2 linked regions of the Bombyx mori genome follow. The protein of the gene in region 2 purifies or fractionates together with the protein of the main gene of each other region. This does not show direct contact. Links are inferred from orthologs where the notes say so. Each region holds a gene or a part of one and is shown on either strand. Other genes may lie near its edges.

What was found.
Region 1: the proteins of protein CASC3 (region 2) and regulator of nonsense transcripts 2 fractionate together in Homo sapiens (co-fractionation; 3 studies listed by BioGRID and IntAct). This does not show direct contact. The link is inferred for Bombyx mori from reciprocal best matches to the Homo sapiens genes CASC3 and UPF2.

What each region holds. Positions count from the first base shown.
Region 1 is NC_085110.1:14,012,376-14,019,973, forward strand, and holds part of regulator of nonsense transcripts 2, read right to left. Parts: intron 7,396-7,598; coding exon 7,250-7,395; intron 3,108-7,249; coding exon 2,813-3,107; intron 2,525-2,812; coding exon 2,309-2,524; intron 2,122-2,308; coding exon 1,081-2,121; intron 994-1,080; coding exon 844-993; intron 534-843; coding exon 388-533; intron 1-387. UniProt on the Homo sapiens protein: Involved in nonsense-mediated decay (NMD) of mRNAs containing premature stop codons by associating with the nuclear exon junction complex (EJC).
Region 2 is NC_085126.1:2,194,658-2,202,820, reverse strand, and holds the start of protein CASC3, read left to right. Parts: upstream 1-3,227; 5' UTR 3,228-3,551; coding exon 3,552-3,641; intron 3,642-3,892; coding exon 3,893-3,967; intron 3,968-6,025; coding exon 6,026-6,126; intron 6,127-8,163. UniProt on the Homo sapiens protein: Required for pre-mRNA splicing as component of the spliceosome. Core component of the splicing-dependent multiprotein exon junction complex (EJC) deposited at splice junctions on mRNAs.

The sequences.
Region 1 (7,598 bases), on a different chromosome or scaffold from region 2:
AAAATACACACTACATCTATGACATTGACGTTATTTTTAATTGCTATTTTCTGAAAGGTTTAGAAATTTCTTTCAAGACAAACATTGTTTAAGGCCGTATAACGAATTCTTACGTTTTATTGTTTAAAATTAAAAATTTAAATGTTTAAAATCAAGTCTGTTTCTTTTTTTAAGACCACAAGGAATCACCAGACTTCCGCCTACTCATTGGGGGCAGTAGGCGAGTCATATCGGAGTTGAACTAACTGAAACCCCATCTTCCTACTCCCACGGGACACCGTAGCAGCATACGTCGGCTCCACGACCGTATTGATCTTTAGGCTATCCGACGTCTCTGTTGCTTGCGTAAATTATTTTTTTAATAACTTATTATCTGAATTTCAATACCGTTTAACTCGTTCCATTTCTTGTTTATCAGCTAAAGCTTGTTGTTGTAGATTGCTGGCCAATTCCGGTGGAGCACTGAACGATTTATATTGTGGTTTCGTTCCTTTACGAACCATAAGAACGAATTCCACGCCCTCTTTTCCTTGCTGAAAATAAAATATTCAATGAATACTATTACAAGTATTAATTGTAAATATAATTTAGGATAGATAAAAAGCTATTTTATTTTTATTTTATTTCCAGTTACAAAAAATAAGCTATCAAAAACATTTTAAAGTTATGACATGTAATCTTCTGTAGAACACACAGTATAAACATAGTGCAGCTAAAAGATGTAATTCTGGAGACAGTTTCCTTTTACCTTGAATTTCCTACACTAGACATAAAGTAAATTGAGACGTGTTTCACAGAGTTTTACTTAAGCGTCAGTAACTCAAATTGTATATTAACTCATACCAAGAGCTGTTCATACGTCTTCTTCGTAGTCTGTCTGCAGGTCATCGGGACAGCAATGTCGCGTTGTTGCGGTCTATTCTCCCGTTGTCTTTCTGCAATATTTTCTGTTACCATTTTCTCGAATGCCGATTCGAACTCAACGTCTTCTACCTAAAAACCGAAATGCATACGAGTATATGTAGTAGGTACATTGATTTTGTAAAATAATTTAAAACTATATCAAAGATTTCCACTTACATGTTTAGTAGCAGGTCTTCGTGGCTCAATTGCCATTTCATCTTGCATTTCGTTTTCGTCATTAACATTATTTTCGGTAATCGGTTCTTCATCAGAGCTTTCATCAGGCAATTGCGGATTGTCCGTTTCATCATCCGTTTCCATGATTGTGTCTAAGCCGTCGTTCACACTATCATCACCTTGATCCTCATTATCGTACTCTTCCTCTCCTAGCTCCGGATATAAAGTCTGTCGTAGTTCATCTATTGCATCCTTACACTGTTGCCAGCTCGTAAACAAAGTCAACTTAGGGCGTAAAGTCGTCAGGCATTCTTGATAAATATATTTAACGTAAATAGGGAATTGATAGTCTTTTGTCCATATCGGATCAGAGAACTTGAACCAATAGTAATTTTGGAAGAAGGTCAAAAAATAGTCTAATCTTTTTTTGCTCGAACCACTGTTGAAGTATGCACCACAAGTCTCAAGCAGAGCGCAGACTAGTCTTATTCTAAAAACATTATCAGATGGGTCCAATACAGATACACTGCTGTGATCATTGGTGACACCAAATGTTATAAATGAATATAAAACAGTGAAAACATCTCGAGAATCTAATAATTTATAATTATAGAGTTCTCCGAGATACCGAACAGTAGCTATCCTTCTTTGATTATATCTTGGATGTGGGTCTTCCATTGTTACCCTTATTTCTTCTAATATTGTGTCAACGACTGCTGGAGCTACTACTTCTTGCCAGATTGCCAGTTCAGCTGTCAGTCTGGCCAGAGCCCTTCTGGCACTTGCTCTTACCCTCCAACCTCCTGCGAGATGTTGTATGGCAATGGCGGATACCTCTGGGTCATCCCAATTCAGTTTTCGCATTAGTCTAAGAATTTTTTCCTCATTACTTTTCTGCAAGTCTTCATGAAGTATTTTTCTGATAAATTGATGAAGTGGTGGCTCTTCTTCTTTAGGCTGAACAGGAGTTTCGGGAGGGCAAACGTAATAGAATGCGTTTTCTATCTGTGTTACATATCGCGAATCTAGAGCTGAAACAGTCTGAACACAAATAATTATTATTTAAGTAGAGCATTTTCTAATAATATAATTCAATATATTCCATTAACGTATATTCTGTTAAACTGTTATTTTATTTATTATTTAAACTATTAAATTAGGATCTATTGAATTATAATAATTATAATATATCAACTCAACAAAATATATTCATATTATGTTTTCATACTTTTTTTCGCATCATTTGCTGTAAATATATCATAGTCCTTTGGTGTGTATCTGGATTACAGTATAAATATCTACCACACGTTTCAAGCAGATTGCAAGCCATCTCAATATGGTGATGCTTAAAATCATGCAGCAACACTTTCAAACAGTACAGCGCCTCCATTTTCGAATACAAATTAAACTTAACCAGTTCCCCAATGAATCGCACCACTTTTATCTAAAATAAATTATATATAAAAATTTAAAAAACACAATAATAGTTCTTCGGTTTTAGCAAGTTGTAGACATAATTAAAACTATTTTTATGACTGTTAGTCGTGCGTGACCACATAAACTGTAAAATATTAGAAACGTCAAATATAATATTGAGTAATAACAATATAAGGAAAGATTAAGCTGTACAAGTAATTTTAATAATAGATTTATTTAATATTTTACTGTCTTCTTTTTTTGGAGTATATTTATGTAGAGTCAACATAAAACCATTATATTATATTCTTCTTACCTTCGATTCAATATTTATTTGATCCTTTTTCCTGACATGATACTTAAAGTCTTGTTTTAACATTTGACACAGGTCAACACATACTTCTGGCAGTACTGGATATAAAATCGCAGCAAATCTTGAGTAAAATGGCAACAGATCTAGCCTTGTTCTGGCAACACTGAAGAGAACTCTTGAAAGTTTCTTCCGATTATTCTTTGTATTGAGATTCAGGATAAAATCAACTGCTGCATTATCTATGAGTTCTCGGTTGATACAGTTGGGAAGTTCATTCAAAAATGTATCTAATCCATGTCTGTCACAAAATTGAAAATTTAATAAATTAAAAACATATCAATTGAATTGATTTCTTTTTTTTTTTTTTTTCCTACCTCAGCTGATAGCCCTAGCGGCTATTTCAGCGTAACCCTAACTTTAGTAGGTGAGCTCACGGGGCTCAAACCTGACGATGTTGCTAACACGAACCCTAGCAAGAGTCGTGCTTCGCAGAATCTACCACCGGATCGGAAACGCGACCCACTGAGAAGATCCGGCGAGAAACTCAGTGGGCTGTGTCTGAGAGTTAATTTACTCGTCGAGCCCTTCGTCGCAAGCGACGGGTTCGACGAGAACGGTGACCGGTGCTTGAATTACCTAAAAGCACCGTTAGTGGATCAGGAGGATCCGAGATGACGTGTTTTGGGCGACGTCGACTGCTTTCCATTCTGTCCGCAGGATCGGGAATGTAGTTACCGGCGGCCACGATGAGAGGGTTCTCGTGTCGTGCCGCTTTATCGAAGTGGCGCATGGACGCCGACTGCAGATACTTACTGATGGACTCTAAGTCCAGGTCGTCATGGAGGTCGACGTTCCTGACGAACCACGGGGCTCCGACGGCTATCCTGCAAAAACGGGATTGAATAATTTGAAAGGATTTTAAGTGTATGCGGGCCGCGTGAGCGAACACTACACTTGCATAGGTCATGACGGGGCGTATGCAAGTTTTGTAGAGTGTCACCTTATTTCTAAGGGACATTTTACTTCGCCTACATATCATCGGGTAGAGACGTCCTAGGATGAAGGCGGCACGATCGCGTACCGTCTTGATGTGGGGGCGGAATGTCATCCTACTGTCGAGGGTGACGCCTAAATATTTGACCTTCGGGGCCCACGGTATGGGCTGGTCGTACATCGTGATTGGGCGAACGGCGGGGGCGGGGGTGTTGACGCGCCTAGTCGGGAGAGGGATGCTCAGCGTGGTGTTCGGAGGGCGACCCCTTTTGAAGAGCACCGCTGTGCTTTTCGTGGGGTTAATGTCGATGCGCCACTTCCGGAACCACTGTCCCATGGTGGTAGCTGCGGTCTGAAGTCGTCGATGAAGCAACGCCTTCTTCCTACACGAGTAGTAGATGGCGGTGTCATCGGCGAAGAGCGCCAGATGGGTCTCCGGAGACCGGGGTATATCGTTGATATACAAACTGAATAGTAACGGGGAGAGGGCGGAGCCTTGCGGGACTCCGGCTGTGACGTGACGGGGCCGGGAACGCGTTCCCTCGACTCGATATCGGAACGAACGGTTCGACAAGTAGTCTCGTATGATGAGCACGAGTCTGTCTGGCACTCCCATGTTATACAGTTTGTATATCAAACCGTTGTGCCAGACTTTGTCGAACGCCTTCGCTATATCGAAGAAGAGGGCTCCTGTCGGAATGGGTTTCCGCCTGTTCAGCCCTAGTAAGATGTGCTCCGTGAGGCGGTGCACTTGATGGACGCACGAGTGTCTGGCGCGGAATCCAAACTGCTCGTCTATCAGAATTTTGTTCGCGGATACGAAGTCCCAGAGGCGTTTACGAAGGAGCCGTTCGTATAGTTTGCCTATCGCCGGGAGGAGACTGATGGGGCGGTAACTCGCGGTTTCGTTCTTCGGTTTGCCCGGCTTGTGTATGCCGATAACGTCCGCTTCTTTCCACGCCGCGGGAAAGATGCAGTTCGTCATAGCAGCATTTAATATGGTGGCCAACATCGTTATCAGTTGGGCTGGTAACAATTTAAGCGCGCGGTTGCGGATGCCGTCGGAGCCGGGAGCTTTCCGTGGTTGTAGGCTATCGATCGCCTCCTTGACCTCGGAAGTGGTAATGGGGGGTAACGCGTCCGAGGGCGGCAGGGAAGCTCTGCGCTCGACCTCCCTGTCGACGAACTCGGTGTGTTCGGGGTCCGCGTGTTGAGTGCTGGTGGTGCACTGCTCTTGCAGTGCATCGGCCAGCAACTCTGCCTTGTCATCGTCATCGTAAGCCGGTGGTTGGCCTGAGGGGCGTACGAGAGGCGGCATAGTGGCTATAGTTTCGGACTTGAGGGTCCTAGCTAGTTGCCAGTATGCTTGGTGAGTGTGCGCGAGTTCTTCTAAATAACTATCCCAGTTTTCGTTTCGGGCGTCGCTTAAGCGGGATTTGACCTCCCGCTGTAAGCGACGCATCCGAGTCCGGTTTGAATCCGTGGGATATCGATCGTAGGCCCGGATTGCCGCGTTTCTAATTCTAACGAGGTCCCTAAGTTCGGGGGAAAGTCTGATGCGGTGGAAGCAGTCCTCCACATCGACTTGTTTCGAGGATCTTATGATCGCCGTCGAGACGTGATCAGTGAAGATGTTTATGGATTCGACGGTATCCTCGGGGGATGGAGTTGAATCCGGGCCGCAAGGGAGGATTGGTGGAGCGGTGTCAGCTAAGCACGTGCCCAGCTTCTTCCAATCCACCATGGTCCTCGTATCTGGTTCGCGGTTGAGTGGGCGACCGAGCTGCATGACGACAGGTCGGTGGTCTGAGTCGAGTTCTGACATTGCCTCGATGGAGCGTAAGCGCAGAGTTACGTTCCTCAGTAGTGCCAGATCTATTGTGCTCGGACGACGCGCGGCGTTGTACGGATAGCACGTGGGGGTCGGGGGGTTGAATACTTCGAATGTGAGGTTGTCTATGAACGCGTCGAGACGCCTACCGTTCACATTCGTGCGATGGCAGTTCCACCTAGTGTGGTGGCAATTTAAATCGCCTGCCAGGATGACCGCGTCCCCCATACCGAACAGTGTCTCGAGGTCACTGCTCAGGAGGGGTTTGTCAGGGGGGAGATAAACGGATGCGATGACGATCGGCTGGTGTCCCGTCAGCGCGATGCGGCACACTGACGCCTCGATATGTAAGAGCGAGGGAGTATCGAGAGGGACGCAGTGCAGGGCCCTCCTATAGTAAATGACAGTCCCGCCCTTGCGGGCGGAGAGTCTGTCATTCCTAACCATGACGTAATTCGCGACTTTGGGGTCGCGACGCGAGGGCTTTAGGAAGGTCTCCTGCACCAGAAGGATGTCGATGAGATTATCGCGGAGAAACTCATATACTTGATCGCGCTGACGCGCGAGTCCGTTAGCATTATAAAATGCTAACTTTATGGAACGCGGTTTTTCCCTACTGTTGCACGCCATTGATTACCGGTAATCAAACCAGCGTGCGCTGGACGGACTCGATGACGTCGATGTACTCGAACGTCGCGTTTAGGCGGTCTTCGGCCGTGACCGCTCTGCGCATGGCGTCGGCGAACGCACGCATGCGGTCGATGTTTATCGCGGCGATGTAGTCGCGAATAATTGTAAAATCGTTTGAGTGCGCGGGGCCGGGGCGAGGCGCGGGACCGGGCGCGGGCGCGGGGGCGGGGCGCGGCGCGAGTAGAGGTTGCGGCGCGTACCGCGGTTGGGGTGCCGGTGTCGTTCCTGCCTTCGTGAACGGCAACGGTTTCGCCCACGCGGAGACGGTGGGCACCGGAGCCGGTACGAAAGCCGGTTTCGGCGCGCGGGGCGCCGAAGTCTTTGGGCCAGCGGTTTTAGGGGGCGCGTTTGCCGGGCGCTTCCGTGGAGCCTTGGGGCATCCACGGTAGTTGGCCGTGTGTCCCTGCTTGCGGCAGAGTACACAGCTCGGCGGCTCCGTCGCTGTCTCCTTCACGCGCGAGCAATCGGTGGTCGCGTGATCGTCTAAACATTTCACGCAACGCGGTCGCGCGTTGCAGTTACGCGCGGAGTGGCCATATAACTGGCAACGGTGGCACTGCCCGGGAGTGCCGCGTTTGTAGGGGGCCTCTACGGTGACCCCCGATAGGCCGCACACGGTGCGGAGACATGAGGCAATTTTCTTGCCCTCCGGTGTGGCTTCTAGTGCTAATTGATTTCAAGATTGGAGCGAAATGTAAGTATTTAAATATTCTATTGTTCCTTTTCATCACCTATGTTACCATGTTTGACATAGACATTTCTTATTTTCACTATGCTTTTAGTTTGTTAAAAGTAAATGGATCTAATATTAGGAGAGAGGAGTGAGTCTTACAATCAATGATTTCTAATGTAAGCATTTTTTTTATACAAGCCTTTCTTTAATTTAGCTTGTTTCTGTATATTGGAAAAAAAAACAATAAACATACTTATTGGAAACATTTGGTGGTTGTATTTCTTCAGTTTCTACTTCTTGAACTACAGATGGGTCCTCATTGTCACTTAATTCATCCTCCTTCAAATCTTCATCTAACATTTCTTCTGTTACCGTTTCAGTTTTGCTTTTCACAGTCTGCTTTTATAATGTACATTTTAATTTATAATGTGGTTCCCATTTACAATACCGCCAATTATATTGGCAATGATAAATATTTCAAATACGTAAAATAAATAAATTTATACAGATACATAAAATTGGAGTGTCTGTTTGTAATATTGAAATAACCACTTACTACATGCATATGAATATATATATATATGGTACACACACCAAAATAA
Region 2 (8,163 bases):
AACATTAATATTTATTCCTTTTCATATATATAAGCCCATATTTAGCACATTTGTGGAAAACAGAATCAAAATAATAATGAGTTGCTAGCCATAGAAGACCAGCATAAGTCTTATTAAAATCTGTTCAGTAGTTTTTGAATGAAGAGTGAAAATACTTACAAAACTTCCTATTTATAAGTAAGGATTACTTATTTAATTAAAGAGTTTTGTAGGTGGCAAACTATCTAAAAACTTTCTATTTTCCACCAAGTTGACATCAATTATCCTTCCTGCATATATATTTATTGTATTGTTTTTTTTATAGTCTAACAAGGGATGATATTACATTTGCAATTTCTGGGAGTTTGTTGAAAAATATATTGCTTGCTTGACTTACAGATAAATCGAAATCATCAGCCAATTGAGAGAATGTTCTATTTAATGTTATTCTCATCAGACATAATATAATATTTTGTTCAGAAACATTTGTATGTTTCTCAATCAAGCCTATTATGAAACATAATTCTTGTGGAATACCAATATATAAACATTGTTTATTTTTCACTTTAGATAAAGTTGTTAACACATTCATTTTTTCAATTTTTTAGTCTTCTTGAGAGCTATAGTCTGAAGTGCACAAGTCTTTGATGGAGTGGAGATATAGAGAGATAACTCATAGTCAACAGTTGATCCTTCTGTTGCTGGTGCATTTGACTCATCACTGTCAAATTTGTCCTCAGGAACAACAGTTTTTTTTTTGCTGGTTCTGATTGTTTACTTATACTTGCTTCAGATATATTAAGGGGTGATGTGGCAATACACACTTGCCTTGCCTTTGTGTTCCTGTGCTGGAGCTACTTGGATAGCTTTGTCATTACTACACCTATTTTCAAGTGGCTGGACATCTGGAAATATGAAATAATGTTAGCAATTTCCAACAAACGTATAGTTTGTAAATATATAGGATTATATGTGTACTGTCGTAGTAGTAGTAGTAGTATTTAACTTCCTAGTCATCATCATCAGACCATATAATATATCCCCTTGCTAGACACTGGCCTTCACTACCATTGAGAGGGTTTTTAGGCCTTAGTCCACCACGCTGGCCTAGTGCTGGTTGGTGGATTACACACCTAAGAAAATCCTAAGAACATTTAGGTGTGCAGGTTTCATCACAATGTTTTCCTTCACTGTTAAAGTAAGTAAGTGATATTACACTGTGATAAATTTTCATTTTCACAAACTTCCTAGTACCTTATGTAATAGGAACTGAGATCCACTTGCCCATTTTGGCTACTTCCACTAACTAACTAACTATTCTCATTTTTTCTGATATTGTTATTTGATTAGGAGATCTGTGAGTGTAACTAATTATTGACAGTTACACCTACCTTGACTACAAGATGGCAAAGGTATAATAATACGACACATCTCATTTTTAGTCGTCTCTTCAATTTCCTTGATAATAGTGAGTCTTTGCCGTTTCACAAATGCAGGCCGAGGTTCACTATGAGTGAATTTTCGTTTTCTATCTGCCCGACAATCGAATTTGGATGGTAAACAGTTTGGTTTCATTCGAATTCATTTGATGGAGCTCATTATCTTGTATTGCATATAATTCTCCATGTAGTTTTCCAGCTAAAACATGAAATAATTTTCCAACAATTTCAATACATAACCTATAAAAAAAATATTAAAATGTTATTTTACTAATGTTAGGAATATAATTTCGACTGTGTCAAAATGTTATTATAATGTATACCTACATTATCTCTTGAAAGATAAATAATGAACATATTTACTTATTTGTTTATATTACCTATGTGAACTCTTAAACCTATCTTTTTTATACCTTCATAGCGATAGGTATATAGGAGGATGGAAAAAATGTATTTGGTCTAACTTTACGCGAATGCACATTATTTTATTTATTTTGTTTTTAATTTTTTTAATTAAACTGTATACCAATTAATTGATCCTTCAGGATTTATAATGGTTTTTTTTTTCACGATTAAAACCGCGTAGAAAGTTTAGGCATTATAGTTGACGCATGCGCCATAGATTATACACTTATGGCATGCGCAGTACACATATTTTGTATACATTTATTCAACTAATACAATTAATTAAACAAAAAATGAGTAATTTCGAAAGAGAACAAACGTATTTTATATAAGAACAATCGAAAATGAATATTTACGAGTAATTAAGGACGAAAAAATATTAAAAATTGCAATCGAGGGGCTAACTTTTAGAAATATTTTTAATATTTTTTTAAAAATAAATAAATGGGGAACAAACAGTTATTAACAGTGAACAATCAAGAACAAATGATGAACAAACGAATTAATAGAAAATAAGTAGAAAACAGGAAAAAAAATTTTTTTTGAGGGGCTAACTTCATTCACCCTAAAAACTTATAGGTAAAAAATGTAAACGTCTAGATGAGTTTTTTTATGGGATTTTATGACCTGGTAACTAAGACTTTTAGGTGAAGTCTTATTTTAATTTGAATTAAAACTTTTATATATATGTGAAAAATGATATTAGGAAATTAAATGAGATGAGATGATATACTGAGACTTTTTCAGTGGACTTTTTGGAGGATCCCGAGAAGTTACGTCAGTGGCTTTGTTTCATTTTCTCACATTTGTGTACTTTCACAGATACTAAGCAGTTAATAAACCACCGTTATTACACATTTAAACCTGAAGAAACATTAAATAGACAAAATAAAACAAATCACACAACTTCACTATTCGCGTTCCCGCCAAAAGTCCCTTGTATTTAAATGAATTTTTATCGTCCATTTAATAAGCAAAGGGATCAAAACCTTCTTCAAGAAATGTATGTTTAAGTGGTACGATCTGATCTGAATTGAATGAAGCGAGATGAGATGAGACAGGAAGCACTGATCAACAAGATCTCGACAAGACACATTAAGACTTATTTTCATTTTCTAATACGTGCGCATTTTCATCGATGTTATACGTTAATAGGCCACCATTGTTATATGTAATTATTATGCACATGGTTTTAGCGTCCCAAAAAACACCAAACACCTTCTTGCGTTTCCATCCAAAAGTTGTACACTGTAGGCACAAGCTCATTCAAAATGGTATAATCTATGAGTTTATAAATTGCCACATTTAAAATTTGTAACAATTTTTCAGTCCACGTAAAAAATTAAAAAACCAAGACTTTTCTAAAAAAAAGCTTTTGAGAAGCCCCAAACTTTAACTGTTTTATTTTCTATCTCTCTTAAAGTTCATAGAAATTTGTTTGTTATTTGGTAGAAAAAACTAGAAAATTATGAATTTTCAGAATTTCCAGATTTAGAACCAAGGATAGTTAAGATTATTAAGATTACGTGAAATGGAATTATTTTTTATGGCTGCTAGATCCCCGTGCTTGTTTTGGCGTTCTTTTATTGCATTTTAATTAATAACTAGTGGGGGTTTTACCGTCGCTACTGTAAACTACTGAGCGCGTTTGCCGCTTCGTTTTAATTAATTGTATTATTTTAAGCCGCCAATCTGGAAGTTATACAAGTGACACGGGAGGACGCCGAAATGACGTCCGTGGTACGAAGACGGGAGCACGACGATTCGGGAGAATATTCAGATGCTTCTCAGGACATCGAACACAATAACTCGTTGAACGTGAGTTGTTAACTAGTGGTCTCGACGGTCGCACTTTCGTTTTGGCGCATAAAGTATTACAGTGTTACTTTCTCCGGCGATTTCGCGTGTCGGAATTCCCATTTCGTTTTGTTGTATTGAGGTCATGATAGTTCTGCAATCGCTCTAACGTTGTCTTTGTACATGGACTGCAATTCAAGAGCGCCACGTAATTCGTAGGCATTGTTTTGTTTTGCGATATGCATTCCCTGAAGGTTGCCGATTGTTTACAGGAAGGGCCGCCCGAGTCCGATTATGACTCGCAGGGTAGCGATTCTGACCACTCTGAACGGGATCCAGAGGCACAGGTAACCATTCATTATATTTAGATAACAATTTCACGATTTTCCAGACAAGTTAATTAAGAAGACAGCTTTTTTATCATATAAAAAATTAGAGAAACAAAATTGGAGTCTCTTTTGTTATAGGTGCATTATTTTACGTACTTTTTCTTTGTTACTTGTGAACAAAATACCAAAAAGTACCATGCATATAAATACAATGGACACCTACCAATACAACTTAAACATTGTTTTGTGCATGCATTTTTAAGAAAACTTTTATCAAACTGGTAAAAATTATAAAGTAAGTTTTTTAAGTACTGAAGATTTGTAAAGTACTTAAGTTTATTCACTATAGAAAGTTAAATGAGTAAATAAAAAAAACCATTTAGTTGCTAAATTAAAAATCCTATGATCCAAAAGTCTAAATAGTGGATCAAAAGATGACTTCAAATAGCAGTTTTCCTAACTAACTACTTTGTTTAATAACTTTCAAAATCAATGAATAATATCCTGTTAAAAAATAAACTGCTCAAAATGAAAATTGTAATACTACTATATGCAGGAATTGTGTACTGGCGATGGTAAAATATACAATAATTGCTTAGCTTTAAAATTAGACTTGCAGAGAACTATTTTGCTAATAATCTGCAAGGATTAAATAAATTAAAACTTGAAAATAATTTCTTATTAAACCATCGGACTTTGGAATTGATTCACGAAAACAGGTTTTGAAAAACAGTAATTGGAAGTGTCTTGCCTCATGTTCATCACTTATTTTAACCTTTTTGGATTGCATCTCATTGAAGTTATTTTCTAAATATTATATTTAATAAATGTTATGGCTATTACGTCATAGGGACAACATTCTAAAATTATAGCAAACTGTTTACGGCACATGATTATGTTTTTAAATTTTATATTTAAATCCAGTTCTTATTTAAAAATATTAAACAGCTTTCACTTGTTCATTGAATTCATACCTCAAAGTTTACATATTTAAAATAACATTTCCATCTATCTCACTCATGTTAAAGTAAATTACTGTAAGTAAGTAAAAGACGAAATAAAATAGAATGAAAACTTAGATTTAAATACAAAAAATATATATTCAGACAGCCTTATTAAATATATAAAGGATCATAAACAAATTACTACAAATTTCGGAGGAGACTATTAACACTATAGAGCTTGAATGTCAATGTTAATTTCAATGATAAAAATTAATTCATTCAAAATAATGCAAATTTATTACAGCAGATTCAGAAAACAGGTTTTTGTTAAACTGAATCAAGGTTAAAGAAATTTGAATTTGTTAATAACATGAAAATAACGTTTGTGATGGGGTTCTTTTAAATGCTTTTTAATCTATAGATATTCAAACATCCCATCTGCTGTTACCAGAGCTCATTGAATGTGAAATGTCATCCTGGCATATTTTATACCTTTCAAATTGGAACATATTAAATGCTTTAGAAATAAGCGGAATGTTGGTACACAAATGCTGTTAGCAGTAAATTTTCTTAATCTATTAGTTTTAAAGATTTTAATAAAACCTTTAATTTTTCCTAAATTCAATTTAGTATTCTACATTACTCAGTCTCATTAACGCTGTTTATGTATTTGAGGATTGAGGTTGAACATTTAAATTGTCATAATTTTTCAAACCTTTGTACCCAAGGTACTATGTATCTGTAAACAATGCTATATGACCCTTTGTGACTTATCCCCAGTTATTATTATAGATAAAGAAAATGATTATATGTAATGTTTACTTTTTAATTCTAAAGTACTTTAATGACTGTGTTGTAGTTATTTTTATCTCTCAAGGCATATTGAAGTTTAATATAATTGATATTCATCCATTAAATGGAAGAGATTAACAGTAGCTCACAATCCCAAGTTGTCTATTTGACACAATTTCCTTTTTACCCAAAAAAAAATTATAAACATAGTATAATTTAATATCTCTTCTACATTCATATTTTGTATATTCAATTTTGTTAATGTTTATATAGAAAAAATTAAGGTATTAGGTTATTAAAAAGTGTAGAGCAGAATTATTATAAGGCTTAAATTTTACAGGAAGGTGAACGCAGAGTTGATGATGATGAAGATAGGAGCAATCCTCAGTATATCCCCAAGAGAGGAACATTCTACGAGCATGATGACCGAACCGCAGCAAGGTTAGAATAAGATTGTATGCCGATAAATTCCATATGTCGACACAAAGATATGCAATAGTTTGTTACACTAAATCCATAGGGGCTGCCGACGGGCAGGTTTATATTGCAAGTGCTTTTCTATTGTCATTCTGATCTTTGTATCAATGCCATTCAATGCCTTTGAGCTGTTATGAGCTAGGTATGAAATTAATTTATAAGTAATGTAACTCATATTGTTAGTAAAAGTATTTGCCAGGTTTACATTTATAAGTCAGGTTGATACAATTATGTTATATAAAATGAACCGTATAGGTAGACATTACATCAGAATGTAATACACTCGTGTGTATTGTAAATAACGCGTGCTCATATGCTATTGACCGATCTGTTCGTTGGACCGTCAAAATGACTTGGAAAGTTGTATTGTTATAACTACACAATGCCATTTTTGTTTTAGATAAGAATTTTATTATATATCTCACGAGTCAGAGAACTTATTTTGTGTGGGTTAATTTGTATCTCATGCTCAACCAAATGTAAATAAAGCCATATTTATTAATAGGATGTAGGGTGTGCATGGAAAGGTTTTAAATAATGGCAGAAATCTTTTATAAAATTGCTATGTCTGTCTGTTTTTGGATACATCGTAGATTTCATGTTTTCATTTCTACTTCTTCTTTCTTTCTGGTCGTTCCCTCAATGCTGAGGATCGTGACTGTATGTCAATCTTCTCCACTCGGTCCGGTTCTGCGCCATATGTACCGCTCCCTGTATCTGGCCTCCAGTCACCTCCTTGAGTTGGTCCACCCATCTAGCTGGTGCTCTTCCTCTAGCGCGCTTCCCCGCCATTTGTCCGAAAATTATGAGTTCCTCCAGGCTGTGCAATGGGGATCGCATTATGCGCCCAAAGAAACTCCGGATCCTTTCCTGGCACATAGTCAGCAGGCGCTTGGTGACCTTCAGCTCTTCGAGGATGGAGACATTGGTTCTCATAGCTGTCCAAGGAATGCGTAGCAGCTTTCTCCAGAAATACATTTCAAAGGCCTCGATCTTTTTGCGTTCCTTTTTCCTGAGACATCAAGTCTCCACCCCGTACAGGAAGATAGAGAAGACCAACGTACAAGCCAAACGCATCTTAGTTACTCGGCGAATATTATTAATTTCTACTAACTGGCAGTTAAGAAATCACATTTTAATCTATTTCACTTGACATCTATATAGGATTTTCTATATTGAAGAGATAAGGAGTAATGAAAGTTGTTGCTAGTACTGTGTATTTCAGTCAGCAAACAATGTGTGAGATGGTGTGTTCTGCTCTAACGTCTTAGCGAGATTCGTTTGATGTTGGGACGCGCACGCATTAAGTCTTAGCATTTTTTTGACTGCCCCAATATCGTATCCCTTTATGATATCCTTTTAAAAGGCATTTAATTCTTTATTAGCTTTAGTCCATTCTAAACATTCTGTGTAAATTTTTATCTGCTAATACTATTTATCTTTAAAGTAGTTAGTCTAACATAATTTGTTTGTGCTGCTCTTAAAATCACAGATTTGTGTATGGAAAACTCATATTTTTTTTTTGTATTTATTAAATTTTTTTCTCTCTAAGCACCAGTCATTTTTGTACATACTTTGACATTGGCAGAATCAATGCCAAAGGCGTTGGAGCCAAATTCTTATTTAAAAAAAAGTCTTAGCATTCTAACATATCGATGGAACAAAGCGAATGGTCGTAACTTGAAAAACCCAACTTTACACCAGAGCTATCGGAATCGCGACCCACTGAGAAGATCCAGCGATAAACTCAGTGGGATGTGTCTATGGATTAGTTCGCTCGTGGAACTTTTTGTCGTGATCGATGAGTTCGACGAGGAATTCATAATAATGTAATCAGATAGGCTGGGTTTTAGCTTAAGTTACGACAATTCAGCTTTCTTCTGTTGATATAATTAGATTTGAATCTACCAGTCAACTGGCCACTTCATACGATTAACTGGTCCTCAACCTTCTGCATAGTTCTTAGGGGTCAGTCTTGGGGTAAGGCAGTTCGCGGCAGTA